Canis lupus familiaris: one gene and its partners. The protein of the gene in region 2 interacts with the protein of the main gene of each other region in a pairwise test. Links are inferred from orthologs where the notes say so. Each region holds a gene or a part of one and is shown on either strand. Other genes may lie near its edges. The genes, in order: FAM53C, YWHAG, EPB41L3 and TNFAIP3.

The links.
Region 1: the proteins of YWHAG (region 2) and FAM53C interact in binary tests that used the Homo sapiens proteins (3 or more experiments, as listed by UniProt). The link is inferred for Canis lupus familiaris from reciprocal best matches to the Homo sapiens genes YWHAG and FAM53C.
Region 3: the proteins of YWHAG (region 2) and EPB41L3 interact in binary tests that used the Homo sapiens proteins (3 or more experiments, as listed by UniProt). The link is inferred for Canis lupus familiaris from reciprocal best matches to the Homo sapiens genes YWHAG and EPB41L3.
Region 4: the proteins of YWHAG (region 2) and TNFAIP3 interact in binary tests that used the Homo sapiens proteins (3 or more experiments, as listed by UniProt). The link is inferred for Canis lupus familiaris from reciprocal best matches to the Homo sapiens genes YWHAG and TNFAIP3.

What each region holds. Positions count from the first base shown.
Region 1 is NC_049232.1:25,996,225-26,000,680, reverse strand, and holds part of FAM53C (protein FAM53C), read right to left. Parts: intron 4,076-4,456; coding exon 3,291-4,075; intron 2,263-3,290; coding exon 2,005-2,262; 3' UTR 1,773-2,004; coding exon of another isoform or gene 1,758-1,772; 3' UTR 1-1,757.
Region 2 is NC_049227.1:7,419,809-7,424,625, forward strand, and holds the end of YWHAG (14-3-3 protein gamma), read right to left. Parts: intron 4,430-4,817; coding exon 3,773-4,429; 3' UTR 1,000-3,772; downstream 1-999. UniProt on the Homo sapiens protein: Adapter protein implicated in the regulation of a large spectrum of both general and specialized signaling pathways. Binds to a large number of partners, usually by recognition of a phosphoserine or phosphothreonine motif.
Region 3 is NC_049228.1:72,027,158-72,032,059, forward strand, and holds the start of EPB41L3 (band 4.1-like protein 3), read right to left. Parts: upstream 3,045-4,902; 5' UTR 2,893-3,044; coding exon 2,838-2,892; intron 1-2,837. UniProt on the Homo sapiens protein: Tumor suppressor that inhibits cell proliferation and promotes apoptosis. Modulates the activity of protein arginine N-methyltransferases, including PRMT3 and PRMT5.
Region 4 is NC_049222.1:30,482,767-30,487,733, forward strand, and holds the start of TNFAIP3 (tumor necrosis factor alpha-induced protein 3), read left to right. Parts: upstream 1-1,806; 5' UTR 1,807-1,942; intron 1,943-2,903; exon of another isoform or gene 2,904-4,967. UniProt on the Homo sapiens protein: Ubiquitin-editing enzyme that contains both ubiquitin ligase and deubiquitinase activities.

The DNA of each region.
Region 1 (4,456 bases), on a different chromosome or scaffold from region 2:
CCTACTGGAAGCTGGCATGGCCAATATGCAGCAGAGAGCCCAGGGATAAGGATGCCCCAGGAGAAAAAGAAGCTGGCATCAGGGAAATTATGGCCTAAAGAAGGAGAAGAGCCAAGGGAGGGATGAAACCAAGGATGGGCACCTCCTGGGCTCACAGATTCCCTGGATTCTCCAGAGAGCCTCTCTCAGGCCTCTACAGACCTGGGAGCTCACTGGTAATACATGGTAACGAGCAGAGGAGGAAAGCCCCGGAAGGGTAGAACCTCTAGAGCCAGAGGCTCAAGAAGAAATGGCCACCTCCTCTGGAGTGGAAGTGAGGAGACTGCAGGCTTGGTGACACTCCTATCTGACATGTGGGAAACCAAGAAAATGACAGGTTCAATTCCAGGAGGAAGAAAACATGTGGACTTTGGTCTTCTTCCCTAACATGAGAAACTGGATCCTAAGACACCCTGGAGGATCGATGAGAATGCCCTTCCTCCAATAAACAGGAAGGGCGGGTCCAATTCAGTTGTGCAGCGTCTAACCAAAGCTGGACAAAGCCTCACAAGCTACTTGGCAGCCACGTCAGTATGTATCTCCACTGGTGCCAGTCCTACCAAGGGTCCGGCAGCCATTAAACCCATCATTGCAGCCACCGGGACCTGCTGCCCCGGCTCAAGTTACGGGTGAGAAACAAACAAAAAGGAAATTCAACCCAACAACAAACTCCCAGCTGCTTCTCGTAGCCTTTGCTTTACACATCCTCAGCCAACCCTCACTGAGCCCCAACCTCACTGATGTCTCTCAGGTCCAATTAGAGGCAAATAAACATTTCCTGGCAGGAATGGAAGACAAGCAAACTGGTAAAAGCTGACATCCTCTTCCTCTTTCTCAAGCAAGTCAGAAAAGAGGTTAGACCTGGATCTTCTAACAACAGGTTTCCTAAAGTCTGCTTCCAAAGGGCAGTGCTGGGATGAGCTTACCCATGCTTACTTGACAAAGTAAGTCAACTTGACTGCCAATTCTGCTGCAGGTGGGCCTCAGATGATAAGGACCAATACAGAGCCTCCCCTCCATGTTCTTGACCCTTGAAATTCAGACAGTGAGGGGGAAAACGTCCCATCAATAGAGAGGGAAAGAGAAAGATGGACCCCTCTAACTCTGCCTCAGTTGCCGACATGCACTTACATCTACTTAAGAGACAAAGGCTGTATATAGCCTAGGCAATCTGATGAGGAAAAAAGGCCAGCTCAGAATCAATGTAAAGAGCCTTCTCCAGTCCTAATATTAGATCTGTCTAGGGGAGGGGATGGGCCTAAGAAAAAGACCATTAGCTGAGGTCACAGCTCTTAAAGACCCTGCCATACCCCAAAAGAGAATCCTCTGCAGAGCCAGTGGTGCTTATGGATTATAAGCCTGGTTCCAGAGCTACTTAGAAAAAAAGAAAAACTTGGTGCTATCCTCTTGACTCCTTGAGTAAGCCTGCTGTCCTGTGAAAATTCAAGATCCTGGGGGTATCATGATGCTCTGCTGTTAAGGAGCAACTGCCTTCCTTCCCTAAGGCTACGCAAACACACCTTTCCCCAAGTATACTCCCATGCACGCACACACTCTCACACAATTTCTCCGAGGAGGCTGAATGAACCCCCCACCCTGGCCAAATTCTAAGACACAAGTGCCCTTTGAAGCAAAGGGGCTAGTGAAATTCCCCGAGCTGGGGTCAGCAGACCCCTTCCTTCCCTGCCCACTGCTTTCTCGGTGGCAGGGATACTCACACTCAGGGCCGCCATGGGAAGGGTCTGCTCTGGGGCTGTCCCTCCCGCCACCAGCTCCGTTAATCTTGTCCCGGCCAGTCTCTTGGCATGGTCGAGCTTCCTGGAGCAAGAAGATTTCAGGCTGCCCTGAGTCGGAGCCCTCCACTCACCCCCATTCCCAGGCTGGGCCCCTGGCCTTGGGGCCTCGACACTTGTTAGTAGCCAGAGAGAGTCAGTCTGTGTGGCCCCAGGAAGTAGCCTCTCAGTTTTAGTTCTCCTCAATTAGATTCAAGTCCAGGTCCCCAAAGTCCTGCTGGCACAGTGTCCGCTTGCTCAGTGCCTGCCGCCCCCACCGCACGGCCCCCTCCTCCTCCTCTTCGCTTTCACTCAGCACCTGGGAGGAACCCCCAACGGGGCTGCAGGAAGCAGAGAGGTGCGGGGGGCTACAGGCCATGAACCACGGTGGAGAGATGCTGCTGCCTTCCCGGGCTGCTTCTTGGAGACAGAGACCTCCTGAGTATGGTTTCTGTCAAACAAACAACAAAGTTAAGAATGCAAAAAAAAAAAAAAAAAAAAAAAGATACCAACTTCCACAGAACCCTGGCCCAAGCTGGATTTCCAAGTGTCCTTCCTGGTTACCCTTGCAGGCAGGAGTTGTAGGCTTTAGGGTGAGGTATGTGAACTCCCAGATAACATTTGGAAAATTTTTAATTTTTCCAAATTCTTTGAGGAAATAGCTCATAATTTCTATCACATTCAAAATTAGGAGCTCATTTATAAGCTTCATGTGGGCAGAACATTTTCTGGATGTTTTACAATACTGTGAGTGCCTAGTCACAACCTGGTACATGGCAGGTATTCAGTAACATTTGCTGACTCGTTGGAGGAATGACACGATGAATAAGCAGGTAGATTCTCAAAGAGGTTTGTGACCCAGGAGACTAGAAGGAAGAATATGAAGAGTCGGCAAGTGCATACAACAGCCGTATTCACACTGGGAAGTCAAAATGTGTTTGCTGTACATGAATGATGCAGCAACCCATTCTGCGAAGCCCTCACAGACCCAGGGGAAGCTGTGAAGGACAAGTGGCAAACGAGCCCTGAGGTCAAGAAGGGGCAGGGCACTAATGATGGGACTTGTATTGCTTATGCATCCTCAGAGTGCAAGGAAAGTGCCCTTGGCAGAACAATTGGGAATCCCTGTTGGAAGATTTAACATGGGTCTCATCTCAATTTCTTTAGAACCCCCAGGCCCAAGGAGTGACACAGGACATGAGACCTTGAGTACTAAATTGGGTATAGTCCTGGGCAACTAGGACGGTAAATCACCCTGGTGAAAGCTCAGTCAGTTAACGTTATACTCTTGATCTGAGCTCAGGCCTTGATCTTAGGGTCCTGAGTTCAAGCCCTGTGTTGCCTACTCAAACTTAAAAAAAAATTTTTTTTAAATTAGAAAGGAACCTGCCAGTTGTACATGGAGCTCGAGGATGGCTCTCCGTGAAAATGCAAGTCTCCCTCCTCCCAACCAAGCTTCCCTAGTTCTGCTGGTCCCACCTGATTCATCTTGTCAAAGTCCAAAGAAGGCCGCAGCCGCCGGGGGTCCTCCTCATGGCGCCGCTTGACTCCAGCTTTGCGGGCATCCAGATCACAGGGCTGTGAGCGGCTTCGGGGAAGATTGCGGAGGCCTCGAGGTCGCCAGGGCAGCTCTGGGGAGGATGCAGGGGAGCTCCGGGCAGAGGGCAAGAAGCGGCTTGCCTGAGGGCCCAGGCTGGGTGACAGGGAGAAGCGGCGCTGGGGTGGGCAGGGTGACAGGGACTCAGCATCACTCTCCCAGGAGCCACTTTGGGGGGAGGTGGCACAGGGTCGAGAGGAATCTTGGGCCAGAGCCAGGCTGAAGAAAGGGGGACTGTAGGGTCTGTGGGCTGGGGCACATTGAGAAGAGGCACTGGGAGCTTGGAGGAACCTGAGGCTGGAGACCCGCTTTGGGGGGCTCTGGTGAGGCACCTGCGGCCCACCCCCTCCACCACTGCCCCGGTGCTTGATGGGAGTCCACAGCTTGGAGGGGGCGGGCCGCCACACCGGCTGCCAGCGAGACAGGTCCACGGGCACTGAGAGTGAGCGGCAGTGCCTCTTGGATGGAGGGGCAGGGGGCACAGGAAGCTTCTCTGGGTCTGGGGGCTCAGGGCTTAGGACTTGGGAGAGGGGCTGCTCCTGTGGGGAACTTCCTGGGCTGGGTGGTCTGAGGTGCAGGCTCAAGCCTGAGGGGTGGTAGCTGAGGTTGAGGCTGTCCTGGAACTCAGCACAGGAACAGTGGGGCAGGCCCCTCCAGGAAGCACCTTCTGGAAAGCATTCATAGTAAAATAGTATTAATGATAGCATTTTTTTTTTTAAGATTTCATTTATTCATGACAAACACAGAGAGATAGAGAGAGGCAGAGACACAGGCAGAGGGAGAAGCAGGCTCCCTGCGGGGAGTCTGATGCTGGACTTGATCCCGGGACCCCGGTATCACAACCTGAGCAGAAGGCAGATGCTCAACCGCTGAGTCACCCAGGCATCCCCCCCCCTTTTTTTTTTTTTTTTTTTTTTAAGATTCATAGCTAGCTATTTTTAAGGGCTCACTATGTGCCACACAACGTAATGAACACTTTATGTGATGTTCCTCAAAAACTCATAAGGTAGGTACTATTATCCCCATTTCACAGATGACAGAGGTCCAG
Region 2 (4,817 bases):
GCTGTCACCACATGGCTGCTGCTCAGTTTCTTAGTTTCCTAGCTGAGCTGAAGCAGCCTGGTGTTTGTAGGCAAGGCTCAGGAGGCTCCAACACTGGGGCTCTGACACTGTGGGAACTTAGGCACATCAGCCACCTCTATGTTCACAGCTGTGCCAGCAGTGGCACTTAGAGTGGTCCTGAGTGACAAATTAGCCAAGAGAAGTTAATTCATCCAGTACATGGCAAAACCCTGGGTCACACAAATTATTCCTAAAATGTGAATTCTGATTGAAAAAATTAAAAGGCCACACCCCTTTCAATGCCCTGCAGCCTCGCTCTACCCCTTTGCTGGAACACACCCAAGCTGATGGAAGAAAGCCTTTGCTCTGGCATTCTTCCTTCCTATAGAAAGCAGAACACCCCCACACCCAGGGACATGATTCACGTGGTGGGAGCAGTGTAACAGCTGCCATCTGCAACAGCACTACTAAGAGCTCAGGCCACACCAACTGGAGGTGCCTGACCCCCTCAGAGGGACTAAAAACGCAAGACTATTTATGAACATTTTCAACACAAAGAACCCCCTCATCTAAGACTTCATGAGACCTCCAACAATACTGGGTGCCTCACTGAGAGACACAGCCGGGCATGTGATCCCATTTTCATTTAGACCTACACCCCAAAGCTCAAAAGTTTCGTAATTTGCCCAAGGACCAAAAGAAGCCATCATTTAACTCAGCCCTGTTCTTCTCACAAATCATACTCCCTCCACCCCTGTAAGGCTTTTAGAGATCCACCTGAAGGTGCCCTTTCTGTAGGAAAAACATTGGAGGCCCAAAAGGTACAATCATTTTTCAACATCAGTAAACCCAGGTCTGACTCTCAGCTTACAGGCACTTTCCCAGTCTTGTCCCTGGCCCCCAATCTAACCACATTCTGTGAGTAGAAAGCACGCACATCCAATCAGCCCTTGGAAAGCAAAGGGAAATTAAAGTCATTTAAATAAAACTAAGTAGCACTGACATCAGATCTGTAAGTTTATTTGCTCAATGTACGACAGCTACATAATGACTCACATTCATGATATTCCATCACTGAGGAAAACTGCTAAGAATGGTCCGTGTGTGAAATAATTCCTTAGAGAAACACGGAGTTGGAAAAATAATCACTGATTAGACCTTAAAAATAGTTCACTGCATAACATGACAAAAAAGCACAAAGGCTCATTCAGAGAACATAGTCGTTGTTCTCCTACACTGTAATAGTTATAATTTCACCATGACAAACACCAGACATTAAGATTAAGCTAACACTGGTGTTTCTTTTGCTTCCCCCCCCCCTTAAAAACAAAATATATAACTGCATGTCACTATAGCAACATCCAAAACAGATCAATTTGTTACGATCACTATTTGGTAGAGCAAACTGTACCCCCAAAAGGAAAAATTAAATTAAAAAAACTTTAAAAAATTTGAAGACTTAATTTTTTGTCATAGGAATACATAACACCTACAGTATAAGTTAATAAATTTCAAGCTACTGTATAGAAATACAACACTAGCATGCACAATATTGTATCAATAGAATAATGGAGGAGTAATCATTTCACTGGAGAGACAGTATCAGAGGCAAGTGCATTTCTTTAAAAATAAAGAAAAGAAAAGAAACCATTCAAGCTGCTTAAATATCAAGTTTCCCATTCCCTCATTTTTAGCCCTCAGGTATAATTTTATCTTGCATTATTCTAAAAAGCAGCCAGAGCCAAAGCTGAAATTTAAAAGAAAATATAGGTTTTGTAATTCCAGTAAATCATTTCCAAAGGCTACAAGAAAGGACACAACACTGCTCACTGGACATGAAGATAAGTTAAGGAAAGCCCCACCTAACCCCCCCCACCCCCACCCAAATCATTTCCCATCCATGGCATTTACTTTAGGCCCCGGTGATGGCACAAAAGCTGTACAGCTCTCTTCTAGTTCTGCTAGGGTTCAGTTAATTGGGACTTTTGCTCTAGCGTATGGAGGGAACCTTCTAAGGAAAGTCACGCTGGGTAAACTGTGCCATGCTACAGGGCATCATCGTTCTATTCTTCACTGTCACCTGGATCCTGTCAAACGTATTCATTTCCCAACTGTAAGTTCAATTTTGGTAAACAGCAAAAGCAACTGTCAGTGTTTCCTCAATTATTACTCATACCTCCTTGACTAAATAACCCAAAGGAACAGACAAAACAAATCTGGCGTCTTAACCCAGATCTCGGGAGTTTACACTGTTTCTGATCTTGTAAAAAAGGCTGAACACACACTCAACAGGTCATGTTTTCAGACAGATTTTTTCCGAAACAAGAATGAAGGACCTAAGGCTAACTGAGAACAAATTTGTGGAAACAACAATGTAGTTTCCTTGGATTCCAGAGCATGCGTCAACTGCACTAGAGAGAAAGGATTCTCCCGTTTCAATGCTTTCATTAAAAGAAGAAAAAAAATGTGTAGAAAAACTCTTGGTCAAATAGGAGTGATTTATTATCTGATAATGATTTTAGTTCATCTTCCTACAACAACTGCCTGGGGAAGGAGTGTTTTCAGGGAGGAAAAACAGACATGCTTATGAGGCTCCCGAAACTGGACAGAATGCTTATGAATAGAAGAGCTCTTCCTTTTGGATTTGTCTACCAGTAAGCTTCTAGCACCTGAATTTCCACACACTGCACAAACTTCCTCAAGATGACTGCCCAGCTTCTATAGCTCAATGGCATCTCCACCCTATAAAGAGCCACCAGCAGAAGGTCCAGTGGGGAACACTCAAGTCAAGAGTGATGGCAGCGTGATCCCTGAGGAAGGAGCTGTGGCAGCTTAAAAACCAGGAGTTCTCTGAAAATATCAACACAATAAATGACATACAGACCTGAATTTTCTCTATTTTTGTGGTGTTTAACGTTTCTATTAAAGTGATTAATCATTTTTGTGGTGGATTTGAGAGTTAAGAGGAAAGAAGGACAAAAATCCCACAGCCACCTGCCAAGCACCTATTAACCAAAACCTAGGGTAGCTTTGATTCTCCTCAGGCAAGCCTTTTGGCCCAGGAGATAGCGAACAGCAAAACCAACCTGGATAAGGCTGACTAAGGATGTAAAACCAAAATAACTAGCAAAGAAAAAGACACAATCAATGGCTTGATGTTACGTATGGCTGTAATGGAGAATACTGTAAACTGCAATTTAGTGTTAATACTGTCAGCTAATCCAAGACTTCAGGAAACTGGCAAGGCCTAAACCATAAGGATAAACACACCTTATGTTCCAAGTCTGTCAGTTTGGGATTTCAATTAGTCCATGGCTGGTCGAGTACACCCTGAAAAAAAAATGCACAGCTAAAATAGATGAGATAGAAAGTACCCAAAACATAAGACAAGAGCGTCTGTACACACAAATCCTTACTGGAACCACAGAACTTACTGAATGAGGGCCATCTCGTTTCAGTTTTCTTTTCGTCTTAAAACCCTATTCTCTAGCAATAAGTTAAAGACAGACCGCTCCACCTGCATTCATCTACAGAACAGTCCATACGCCAGTGTGAGGCTGCTATTTCAATACCAGCACAGCTAGCCTGACTTTCCACTAGTGGTATTTTGGCAAAAATGTCAAAAGAGGCGATCAAAGACAGGACAGGTCGTGGGCTTCTCCCTAGGAAGGTCGTCCCTCCCTTTCCCTCCCCCACCCGACCCCCAGCTCATGGGAAAAAATAAAGACTGCAGTAGTAGCATCAGCGGGCGCTGCCAGTCCACCTGGGGGCCTTAATTGTTGCCTTCGCCACCGTCGTCATCTTGCTGATCGCTTGTCCAGAGCGTTAGGTTGTCACGGAGGAGCTGCATGATGAGAGTGGAGTCCTTGTAGGAGTCCTCGTTCAGAGTGTCGAGCTCAGCGATGGCGTCATCGAAGGCGGTCTTGGCCAAGTGGCAGGCTTGCTCCGGGGCATTCTGGATCTCGTAGTAGAAAACGGAGTAGTTAAGAGCCAGGCCTAATCTAATGGGGTGAGTAGGCTGCATGTGCTCCTTGCTAATCTCATGAGCTTCACTATAGGCCTTCTCAGAGGACTCCACGACGGTTGCCCGCTTCTCTCCAGTGGCAACTTCAGCCAGGTAGCGGTAATAGTCCCCTTTCATCTTCAGATAAAACACTTTACTCTCGTACTGGGTCTCACTGCAATTCTTGATCAGGTAGTTATCCAGCAGGCTCAGCACATCCTGACATACGGCTTCCAGCTCCTTCTCGATTTTTTCACGGTAAGCACGGACCATCTCAATCTTCTTCTCATTGCCATCTGCAGATGTCTTCTGCTCAATGCTACTAATGACCCTCCAGGAAGAACGACGTGCCCCAACGACATTCTTGTAGGCCACAGACAGGAGGTTTCTCTCTTCATTGGACAGTGGCTCATTTAGCTCTGTCACCTATAAGAAGAGAATGAAGAAGAGTCGTTATGGTCTGGATGATGTCGCTTGGGTTGATCACATCTTTATGCCACTACAACACTAACAGATGCACCAGGTGACTAACGTGATGGACAGAAAGAGCAGGGAGGCTGTGTGGGTGCACGGGAGGGGAGGGACACAGCAAATGACAAAGAAGGAAAATACTGCAGCTGGATCAGTGATGCCTGAAGTCCCCACTTCCTCCCTAGAAAAGGAAACACATTTTTTACATCTGTTCCATCAAAGGTCTATCAATCAGGTCAAGCTCTTAGATGTCAAAAACAAACTTTGATATAAATTACAAAAGGGCAACAGTTCTCTCCTGTAACGTTACATAAATACAAATCCTGGACATTTTAAGCATAAA
Region 3 (4,902 bases), on a different chromosome or scaffold from region 2:
GTGGTAAAAAGAAAATTCTAACTCGATTCCTTTGTCATTTCATATTTAATATACCCAGAATGTAGAATGTTTCCCCTTCCTATCCAGCCACTCTTCCTAAATAATCCTAAATAAACCTTAGGGCGGGGCACTAGTTTTACAATCAACTTTTGACATTTTTTTTTTAGTAGGGTTTTTTCTTTGGACCATGTTTGTCTTCCAGTGTGTTTCTGCAGTAGGTAGCAGTGATTCCCCATAACTTTCTCCTATTACTTCTTATACCTTTCTTCCCAAAGGGGTTTGCTCCTCTAAATAAGCTTTCTCAGAGGGCTATCTGCCAATTGTTTTTTAATGCTTTTCCTCCCAAAATCTATTTAGTTTTGCATTGGACTCTTTGGATTCTATCTGCATTCACAGTCCTAAATCAAACTTTCCGGGGGGGGGGGGGGGGGGTGGAGAAACACACACACACACACACACACACACACCCTTCCCATGTATTTCATCTCCCAGACTTGAAATTCTCTTCCTATTCCCTCATTCCTTACCTCCCACCTGTTTATTCTTGCTGTCAGTTCTCTCTGTTGGAATCTGATACAACCTTTGAAACAACTGTTTTCAGTGTTGCTGTAGCTGTTCCATAACGACCCTAGCTCCTGTGCAACAGAGTTACTGTAGCAGGCCTGAGATGCTGTCCTCAGAAAGTCTTCCTTGCAAGGTTGACCCTTGGCTGGTGTCTGGAAACTTGGATTGGGGCAGAGTCCCATGCTTCTCAACTGAGGAGGGTGGCTCACTGTACCCAAACTCTTACTAGAAAACAATATGGTCCATGCCACACATGTGCTTTTCTTCTGGAAGCCTGGAGTTTTTCTAGGTGCGAGGTAGAGGCTATCTCTGACCAGCCCCCAGTAAACATCCTGGGCAGAGTCTGTAACAGCCTGCCAAGGTAGACAGCATTTTACATGTGTTGTCACAGTCTGTTGCTGTTGGAATGAAGCATATCCTATGTGACTACCCTGGGAAAAGACTCTTGGAAGCTCCTGCTGGGTTTCCAGGACGTTGCCCCATGCACCTTCTCCCGTTGCTGAGTTTGCCTTGTGTCATTTCACTGCAATACATCTTGGCTGGGAGCACAACTATATGCAGAATCCCATGAGTCCTCTTAGCAAACCACCAAATCTAGCACCGGTGACACAACTCGTATGGCCTGTTACATTATTTCTATCCTCCTTGGTCCACCTTGTAAAAGCACTTCAGAACCTGCCTTTACCATTACTTCTCTAGGCGCTTCCACTGGATTCCAAAGTGGACCCACTGCTTCCGACAGATCACTGCCGGCACAGGAGCGATGGCAGTTTGTAGGGGAAGCTCTTGGCCTGGTGTGAAGACACCTGGTTTCTGTTCTTAGATCTGCCATTCCCTATTTAATTTAGAGCAATCCACAACCTCTCTAGGTTTTAACGTCCTTACACATAAAATGTGAATAAAACTACAGATAACGCGATATCCTGGCGCAAGATTTTGGCTTTCTGCACAAATAATTTCTTACCAATTTGCAACTAAAAGGTACATTGTATCAAGGTTCATTGTAATGCAAAACTGCTCTTTTAAGGCATCCTTATTTTCTCTGTACCTTCCACTATGAAAAGTTCTTTTTGTATAGTGAAAGATTTTTGCACTATTTTTTTTTTTTTGGCAAAAATTTCTGGATTCACTGGGGAAAATATGTGAGAAATGTTTCAGAATTAGAGATTTAAAGGAAAATATACTACAAAAATAGGAATAATGCTCAAACTATCGCACCAAAATTTCCTGGGTAATGGTATTATTTTTGAAAGTTGCTGTCAGAAAAGAAAAGAATGAAGAGAAATGAACAACCCAGGAGTTGGCTGGAAAGGGGCTGAATTTCTGTTCAGCCAGGGCCCCATGTCCCTCATAATGAGACAGCTGACATAGATAGGTAATAGCCCCTTCTCAAACATCAAGGGACTCCCTTTGTAAAACAACATCAAGATCAGAAAGTTTCAAGAGCCCACTGAAAAATCTCTCTGAATTTACTGCAGTGTCTGTATACACACTTTGCTCATTACTCACTTCCAATACCAATGATTGAAATTCATTTCCCAATGATCGACAAAAGGCCTACCAAAGCCACTGGGGGAGCCATACATAAGAATCTTGAGCCTGAAATAGGTTCCCAGGTTGACTGATGGGCAGCTCCAGTCTTCTGAGGTCTCATCCAAGTTCATGTTTTCATGAAGCTGTTTTTACAATTGCTTACAAAATATATTCCAGTTATGTTTCACTATTCTTCTGTGTAATTCTTGGCACAAAAGAAAACACATGATCATTTGTGAATTGCAAAGGCTAAGCATAAGTGCAGGGCATTCTTGTCTTTGGAGAGCATTCAGACTTTTCTCTTAACCACTTCCTTAAATTGAAGCTGCCATCACAGCTAAAAGGTGTTTCCAAACTCTTAAGCATGTGTCCTTAGAGCAAACAATTTCAGACGAATCGGTCGGTCAAACTGATGTGTACTAAGGACAGAGGGAAAGCTGAGATGACATTGTAGCTAACCTGCATCTGTTCTTAATTCCACATTATCCTCCTAAAAACTGCAAAGGAGAGCATTCAAACCAGAAAAAAAACAAAAACAAACAAAAACCCAAAGAACCATTAGCATAGCATTGAATGAACAAACATTTTAAAAAGCATCCTGCACAAAAAATTATTTCCACATTTCCCTGGTTGAATTTACACAAACTATTGCTTCAATATTTATCAAATTCAGAGTTATCATCACTAAAAATGGTCACTTGTCATAGGTATACTTAATGGTAGGAATACAAAAACGTTACCTCCAAATCCTAAGAGGGACTTTGAACACAGATAGAGACAGATGAAAGATGGCATGCTGCAGTGCAGCAATTTCAGAAGTACTGGAGCACTGACATTCCAGCTTCCATTCCTCCAGGAATATTCTCAGTGAGACACACAAAGATGCAGGGTGGTAGAGGCGATTGTTTTTACTATCATATCCAGGTTCTCTCCTTGAATTCAACACTCAAAAAGACAAGGCAGGAACAGGAAGCAGTAACTGCATGGCCTCTAGTGGTGCCCTTCAGATTCTTCCTCTAATATCTTCCCTGGTCCCCAGTGTAGCTTTTCCGCGTGACTGCACAGCAGTCTCAAAAGTGCTGTGGAAGTAGCTTCCAGCAGCAGGCAGGCAGAAAGCCTAAAGTGGCATAGGGCTTCTTGACCACTGGCTCCCAAGCATCATCAGAGAATCTTCGGCTTGCTAGAATTTTCAGTTTCATGATGGATATGGATATTTCATTAATCCTTAGTTTTCCTGATTGCCATACTAATACACAAACATCTACAGACAGCTGTTGAGACCAACATAATAATTATACTGATATTTTTCCCTTCATTTTGCCAAGCACCCCCACTGAAGTTCTTCCTTTTCACGTTCTTTTTCTATGTTTCCTCCCGAACAGTATGAGTTCATCTAACTAGCTTTATTCCCTAAGGTACAACATTAGCAGGACCACACTGGTCATACCAATAAGCAAAGATTCTCCACTAAGCAAATGGGGCAAAATCTGACAAATTACTCCACCAAATGATAGCTTCAGAGCAAGCGAGCCTAAGTAGGGAGTAAGAACTAACTTTTTTTTTTTTTACTATCTATTATGTTATGTACCAATATTCACAGTACCATACATAAACATTAATTCAATCCTAAAATCAACACTATGAATGCTGTATTATCATCCCCACTTTACAGATGCAAGAATGGTCCCAAAATGATCATGTAATTTGCTTGACATCTTCTGCAAACAAATAAGCAAATCACAAGCAACCTATCATAAAAGCGATCAAAAGATATGAATACACATTTCATGGCTGAACAAACGCATGTGCCAATAAGCATGAGAACTGGCATTCAGCATCATTAGTAGTCAGAGCGAGGTAAATTAAAACCCCAATGAAATAACCATGTTACACACATTCAAGTAGGAAACATGAAAAATCTAACAGTTCCAAGAGTTGAAAGATGGTGGATCCACATTCCAATGAGAGTTAAAATTGGGGCACCCACCTTTGAGAACAATTTGCAACTATCTCCTAATATTGAACATTGATACTCCCTACAATCCACTAATTCAACTCCTACTCAAGAGAGATTCCTGCACATGTGCGTGAAGAGTTATGTTCAATAATGCTGAACAGCTCTTTTCACAACAGTAAAATCCTGAAAACACCCAAATGCCCATCAGCAAGATAGGATGTAAATATGGTATATTTTACACAATAGAATATTAAATAGAACAGAAGAGATGTAGTACAGAATATCTCAACATAGATGAATCTTCTCAATAAACAGTCTCAAAGGATTACACACAATATTAGGTTCTTTTAGAAAGTTAAAAACCACTATAATCAAAAGTTTCATAATACTAAAGAATGGAATAAGGTTACATATAAAGGAAAGTAAAGGAATAACAAACATGAGACTCAGATGAGGTCATTGTAGGTGGAGATGGGACAAAATGGTGGTGGTGGTGGTGGGGGCCAAATGGTAAATGGTTACATGAAGGTGACTGTCAAAATACTAGCTTTTGTTTGGGAGGTGGTCTTATAGGTGCTTACTGCATTACTTAAGATGTCAGACTAATGACAAAAGAAAGTAAGCAAGCAAGCAAGCAAGCAAGCAAGAAAGAAAGACCAATGAGAGTATCTCCTTATCTAAGGATTCGTAGTCCAGCTTTATACACCTGACTTCCTGAAAGCACCCACAGAACTAAGAAAAACAACAACAAATAAACCCAAACCAGGCCCAGATCATTAGTGGTGCATTAAAGGTTCCAATTCAGGTCTGCCAGACTCCAAAGCCTGTGCTGCCACCAGGGAAGGGGC
Region 4 (4,967 bases), on a different chromosome or scaffold from region 2:
GGGGCCAGGGTAGAAACAATGGCCTTGAGATTTTAAGTCTTGGAGGATCTTTTCTGAGAGTAATATTTAAGACCCAACAGCGTTTACCTTGGAGTAAACAGGCCCAGTTCCAATCACGGCTCTGCCACTGACCGACGGTGTAGACTTGGGGTAAATGGCTTAAGCTTCTTACACTTTAATTTCATAGCTTCAAAGTGGAGTTGTTTTGAGGCTTAAGTGGCAGAGTGCCTTTCAAACACTTAGCCTAGAGAGCGGCATATAGTAAGGACTTAATAAACATTATTATTATCATATTCCCTATGCGTTGTTTGAGAGTTGGTAGCTAAAAACATTTGTGAATGAACAGCTTATACCAGCAGGTATAAGAAGAAATGCCAGGAGGTTTGGAGTTGTCAAAAGTCCCAGCCATTGGTTTCAAATGGCCAGCACCAGCCTTGGAAGCTTGGCCACTTCTGACTCTCCGCTCTGAGTGTCTCTTTGCCAAAAATGTGCCACCTGGTCCTCATCCAGTCCTCCATCCAGTCTCTGCAGGTCCTTACTGGAGAGGAAAGCATATTTTTCTAATTCCAAAACTGGGATACGAGGCCCAACTAGTATAAGTAAGTCTAGAAGGGGACAATGCACAGAATATTTCAATCTGGTTCTAGTTTAGCTATTCTAAGAAATGCGCCAAGGGGGACTCTTAGCCAGTCAAAGTGCCTGCCTCTCCCTCTGCAATTCAGGCACCTCCACTGTCCAAGTGGCTGACACCTATTTCCACAGGACGTCCTTTGGGTAAAGACTGCGGGTTACCACACTATTTAATAAGGGGTGGGGGTCGTGGGTGGGTAAAATGTATTATCAGCCCTTGACACCTTGGCCTGAACTAATTGTCAGGTCATGAAAAAGAGCTCCTAATAGGGCCTTAGGGGGGCCACGCAAGGACAGTAATAATGGACTAGAAATGATTTCTAAACCGAAATGTTCCTGCGTGCCGAGCCCCCTGGGCACCTGGTGTGCAGGAAGGGAGAAAGGGAAATCAGTAAAGTGCAGAACAGGGCTGATAGTTGCTCTGATTCCCAACTTCACCTAAGATAGGTTTTGCTCCTGCAAATTTCAAGGCTGTGGGGCCTCAGGAGGTCACCCCCAACAGGCCGCCGTCTGGGCGGCAGAACGCTGGGATGGGGACGCACGGAGGGTTGTGAAATCCCCACCGGGGCCCAGAGTAGGGCGCTCCCCGACGAGCTCATCACGTGCACAGCCCTAGCTTTTCCAACCCAGCCCCGAAGGCTGCGGTCCCGGACGCCCGGGTGGTTTTTAGGGTTTTCTTTCTTTATTATTTCCCTTATTGTTCTCCACGGTTGGTGATTTTCTGCAGAAAAACGGCTGAGAAAAAAGAACCTATTTCATTTCCAGTTCCCATCACCGCGATTTCCACATGGATGTGACGTTGGGCCAGCTTCCGAAATGCCCAGGTGACTCACGCGGGGACACCCGGGGGCGGGGCTCAGGAGTTTCTCGCGCGGGGGGGCGGGGCGGGGCGGGGCGGGGCGGGGCGCCGCCGGCCTCCTGCGCCGCCCGCGCCCCCTGCGCCCCCTGCGCCCCCTGGCGGCCGGCGACCGCGGGGCTCGGCGCCGGCCCGGGCGTCACGTGACTGGAAAGTCCCCGGGTGGAAATCCCCGTTCTCCGCCGGCGGTAAAACAGAAAGGGAAAAAGAGAACTGGCAGTCTGCAGTCCTCGCAGCGGGCCGGTGCAGCGCGCTCGGAGCCCGCGGGGGCGGAGCGGTGACAGCAGCCGCCGGGACAAGTGCGGCGGCGGCGGCGGCGGCGGCGGCGGCGGGCGCGAGCCACACAGCCCCGCGGCGAGCGAGCGCCGAGCCCCGGCGTCCATGGGGCGCCTCCTCCGCGCGGCCCGGACCTGACCCGGACTTGGGACTCTGGAAGAGGATCGCGCGGCCGGACAGGTAACCGCCGCGTGCCCGTGCCTCTGCCAGCGGCGTCGCGGGGCCCGGGCTGCGCGGGTGCGTCACCGGCAGCTCCTCGCGGGCGGGAGCTTGTCGGCCCGGGCCCGGCCCGGAGCTCGTCGGCCGTCGGCGCTCACTGCGGGATGTGAAGTGCTGGGAGTCGAGGCGGCCGCGCACGACGCTGGGGTGACAGCTCGGGAGCCCTCCGGCCAGCTGTTCCTTGTAGATGCTGCCAGGAACGTAAGCTGCAGCAGGCGGCTGGAGAGGAGCCCCCGGACGGCCAGGTCGCGTGGTCCTCGGTGCTTTGCCCCTTTGCGTGCCTTTTTTATTTTTCGATCAAGCTCTGGATGCTCGCGGACACGGAGACCTTGCAGAGCCGACCCGCCGTGGCTTCTTCCCGGCGGGTGCAGAGCCAGGCCACCCGCCGGGCGGGGGGGGCGTGGGGGCCCGGGCCAGCCAGCCTGCCCTGGGTCGGCTTGCAGACCCCGCAGCCCAGTGCAGGGAGGCGGGTGGGCGGAGGGCCGGTGCTGAGCTGCTGCAGGCGCCGCAGTGCGCGAGGAGTGTGCATGCTCAAGCGGGACGTTGGCCGGCTTTTCGGGTGCTCCAGTGGACGGCGACCTGGAGGCCCCTGCCCCAGCCCCTACCCCACAGTCAGACGGTCGTTGTCAGCCCGGGTCGTCCCACATCCTGCCACCTGGCCTCTCAGGAAAGCAGTGGTATTAAGTAAGGAAGGAGCTCAGCGCTTTTGAGACCGCTTTGTTTTCAGTTCTCCCCGCCTCTGATCTTCTTTCCTTGGAAAGCTGGTCTGGTCAAGTGTCTCAGGGCAGCCTTTGGGGAGGACCGTGGTTCATCAGTCCCCTGGACCTTAGCACTAGTGTCTGCAGTTGTTACGCAGCCGGTTATAGCTCCATTCCCATCGTCTAAGGTGCTTCTTTGTTTTTTGTTTTTTTTTTTTCTCTTTTTAACAATTCTGTGTACAAGTTTTGGAGTTTAGGAGTGAGAGTTACCAAAAATTCGATGAGGCATTTATTGATTTAAAAAAAAAAAAAAAAAGTCAGTGAGGTGACAAATGTAAAAGAAATGGTAAGGGTGATAGCATATGTCTTTACCTGTAAGGACGTTACAGTTATAGGTCAGGAAAATTTATTCTTTCATCTTAAACGTGGAGAAGTCCGAGAACTGGGAACTTGGCTGGTGGGTTCTAATTCTTTTCAGGAGGCGATCGATTCCACAGTGTGTGCAAGGCTAAAACTATGAATGAGATGACCCAGGGCTATACAGTACTGACATTTGCATGTCTTACATATGGCAAAGAGCGCTTGTGCTATTTGAGGTCTTTGCTGAAAGATCTTTAAATTAGAAGAGATTAAGAGAAGATTCGGAAAACTCAAAAGGCAACACCTAGCTTGTTTCAAATCTTTTTGCTTCCGGCCTCTTCCCGTCTGGCAGCAGCAGGCACAGGGATGGTGTTGTGGGAACTGCAAGGGGCAGGTGTTGGAAGATCTGGCTTCCAGGCAAAGCTGTCTGCCTTGGGTGGTGTGGAACCTGAGCAGGACCCGTGCTTGTGTTGCCATGGCTGTGGACAGGGAATAAGGGCACCTGTGATTTTTAGTCCCAGCATCCAGCATGGCTCTCAGCAGGTGAGCAGGCAGTGCTTTTTAAGCAATGGACAGATGAATGAGTGATTGTGAGACTGGCCATGCCACAAAGTGGAAATGGGTGTAATGTTTTTATTGCTTCATTATGCTTGTGCCCTGCAATAATTTTGCCCAGTTCCACCTTCAGGGAACTGAAGGAAAGATTACCAACTGGCCCAGAGAATAACTTCTCCCAGGCCTCATTGACAATCAGATTTGGAATCCTGGTCCAAAACTATCACCAGAAAACTCCTCAGAAGCAACCTTGGGTCATCTACTTTAACCTCTCTATTTTGGACCACAAGTTTTAAATCACTTCATCAATGGCTTTAAGAGAGCCTAGACCCACCTAGGAATGGCTTCCCTAAAATCTAGGTTTCTTCTCACTCTTACACAGGTTTCAAGTCTTCCTCAACTAGAAGCTTGCCCTGGCAAATAGTATGGTGCAGGAGTGAGATTAGCAATCTCCATGAAACTTCCTAGGGAATGTCTTCATGCTCCAAAACCATCTTTGCCTTCATCTTGGAAACCAAGATGTATGTTGGGGCACCCTGCTAAGGCTTGTGGCTTTCCACACAGCTCCACACTGCAGAGATCCCACGTTGCATCAATTCACAACATCCTACGCTATTGGCATGGGTTGTAGATGCTGGGTTTTGCACCACCCCCCTCCCCCCGCTTCCTTCATTTATCATGAGCATCCCCCTGGCTGAAACATCTTTCCTTGCCCATTTCCAGACTTTTATTTCCTTCTACCAGCAGATTATGTTTCAGGATTCCAGGGTGAAGACAGGGTGGGAAATGCATTTGAGTGTTGGTACCTGGACAATGATAATAAATGTAGTTAAGTTGAAATAATTGAAATCTAATGCCTGCTCTCGGAAGTGTAAAATTTATTCTTGTATTATTATTATTATTATTATTATAATTCTATGTCCTATTCTGATGTTGTGAAGTTCAGTGGAGAGGTTCTGAAAGACTTTATCATTGACCGTTAAAATTGCAAAGCTTCTTACTGGAAATAGGCTTTTTCATTGGTTCTAAGATATTCAGTTTTAACTTTTATAAATATTATAATACATTTTTATAAATAAGCTCTTGATAAATATTTCTCTTCGGGGCTAAAGAGGAAACTCTAATCAGCAGCCTACGTGACAACATAAAATTGTGAGATTTTCCACAAAACATTTATTCTGCAGTGTAGGGTGGGAGGGCTTAAAAGAGATAAATTAAGGCTTTGCCTAAAAGCCAGGGCTGCTCAGCAGTGGTCTTAAGGGAGAAGCTAAGGACTTGTCAGGGCCACCTTGTGCCCGTCACTGGCATTCAGAGCTCCGAAGACCCAGTGGCTGTGTCAGAGTGGCATGCGAATGAGAGGGGAGCTTGTTGGT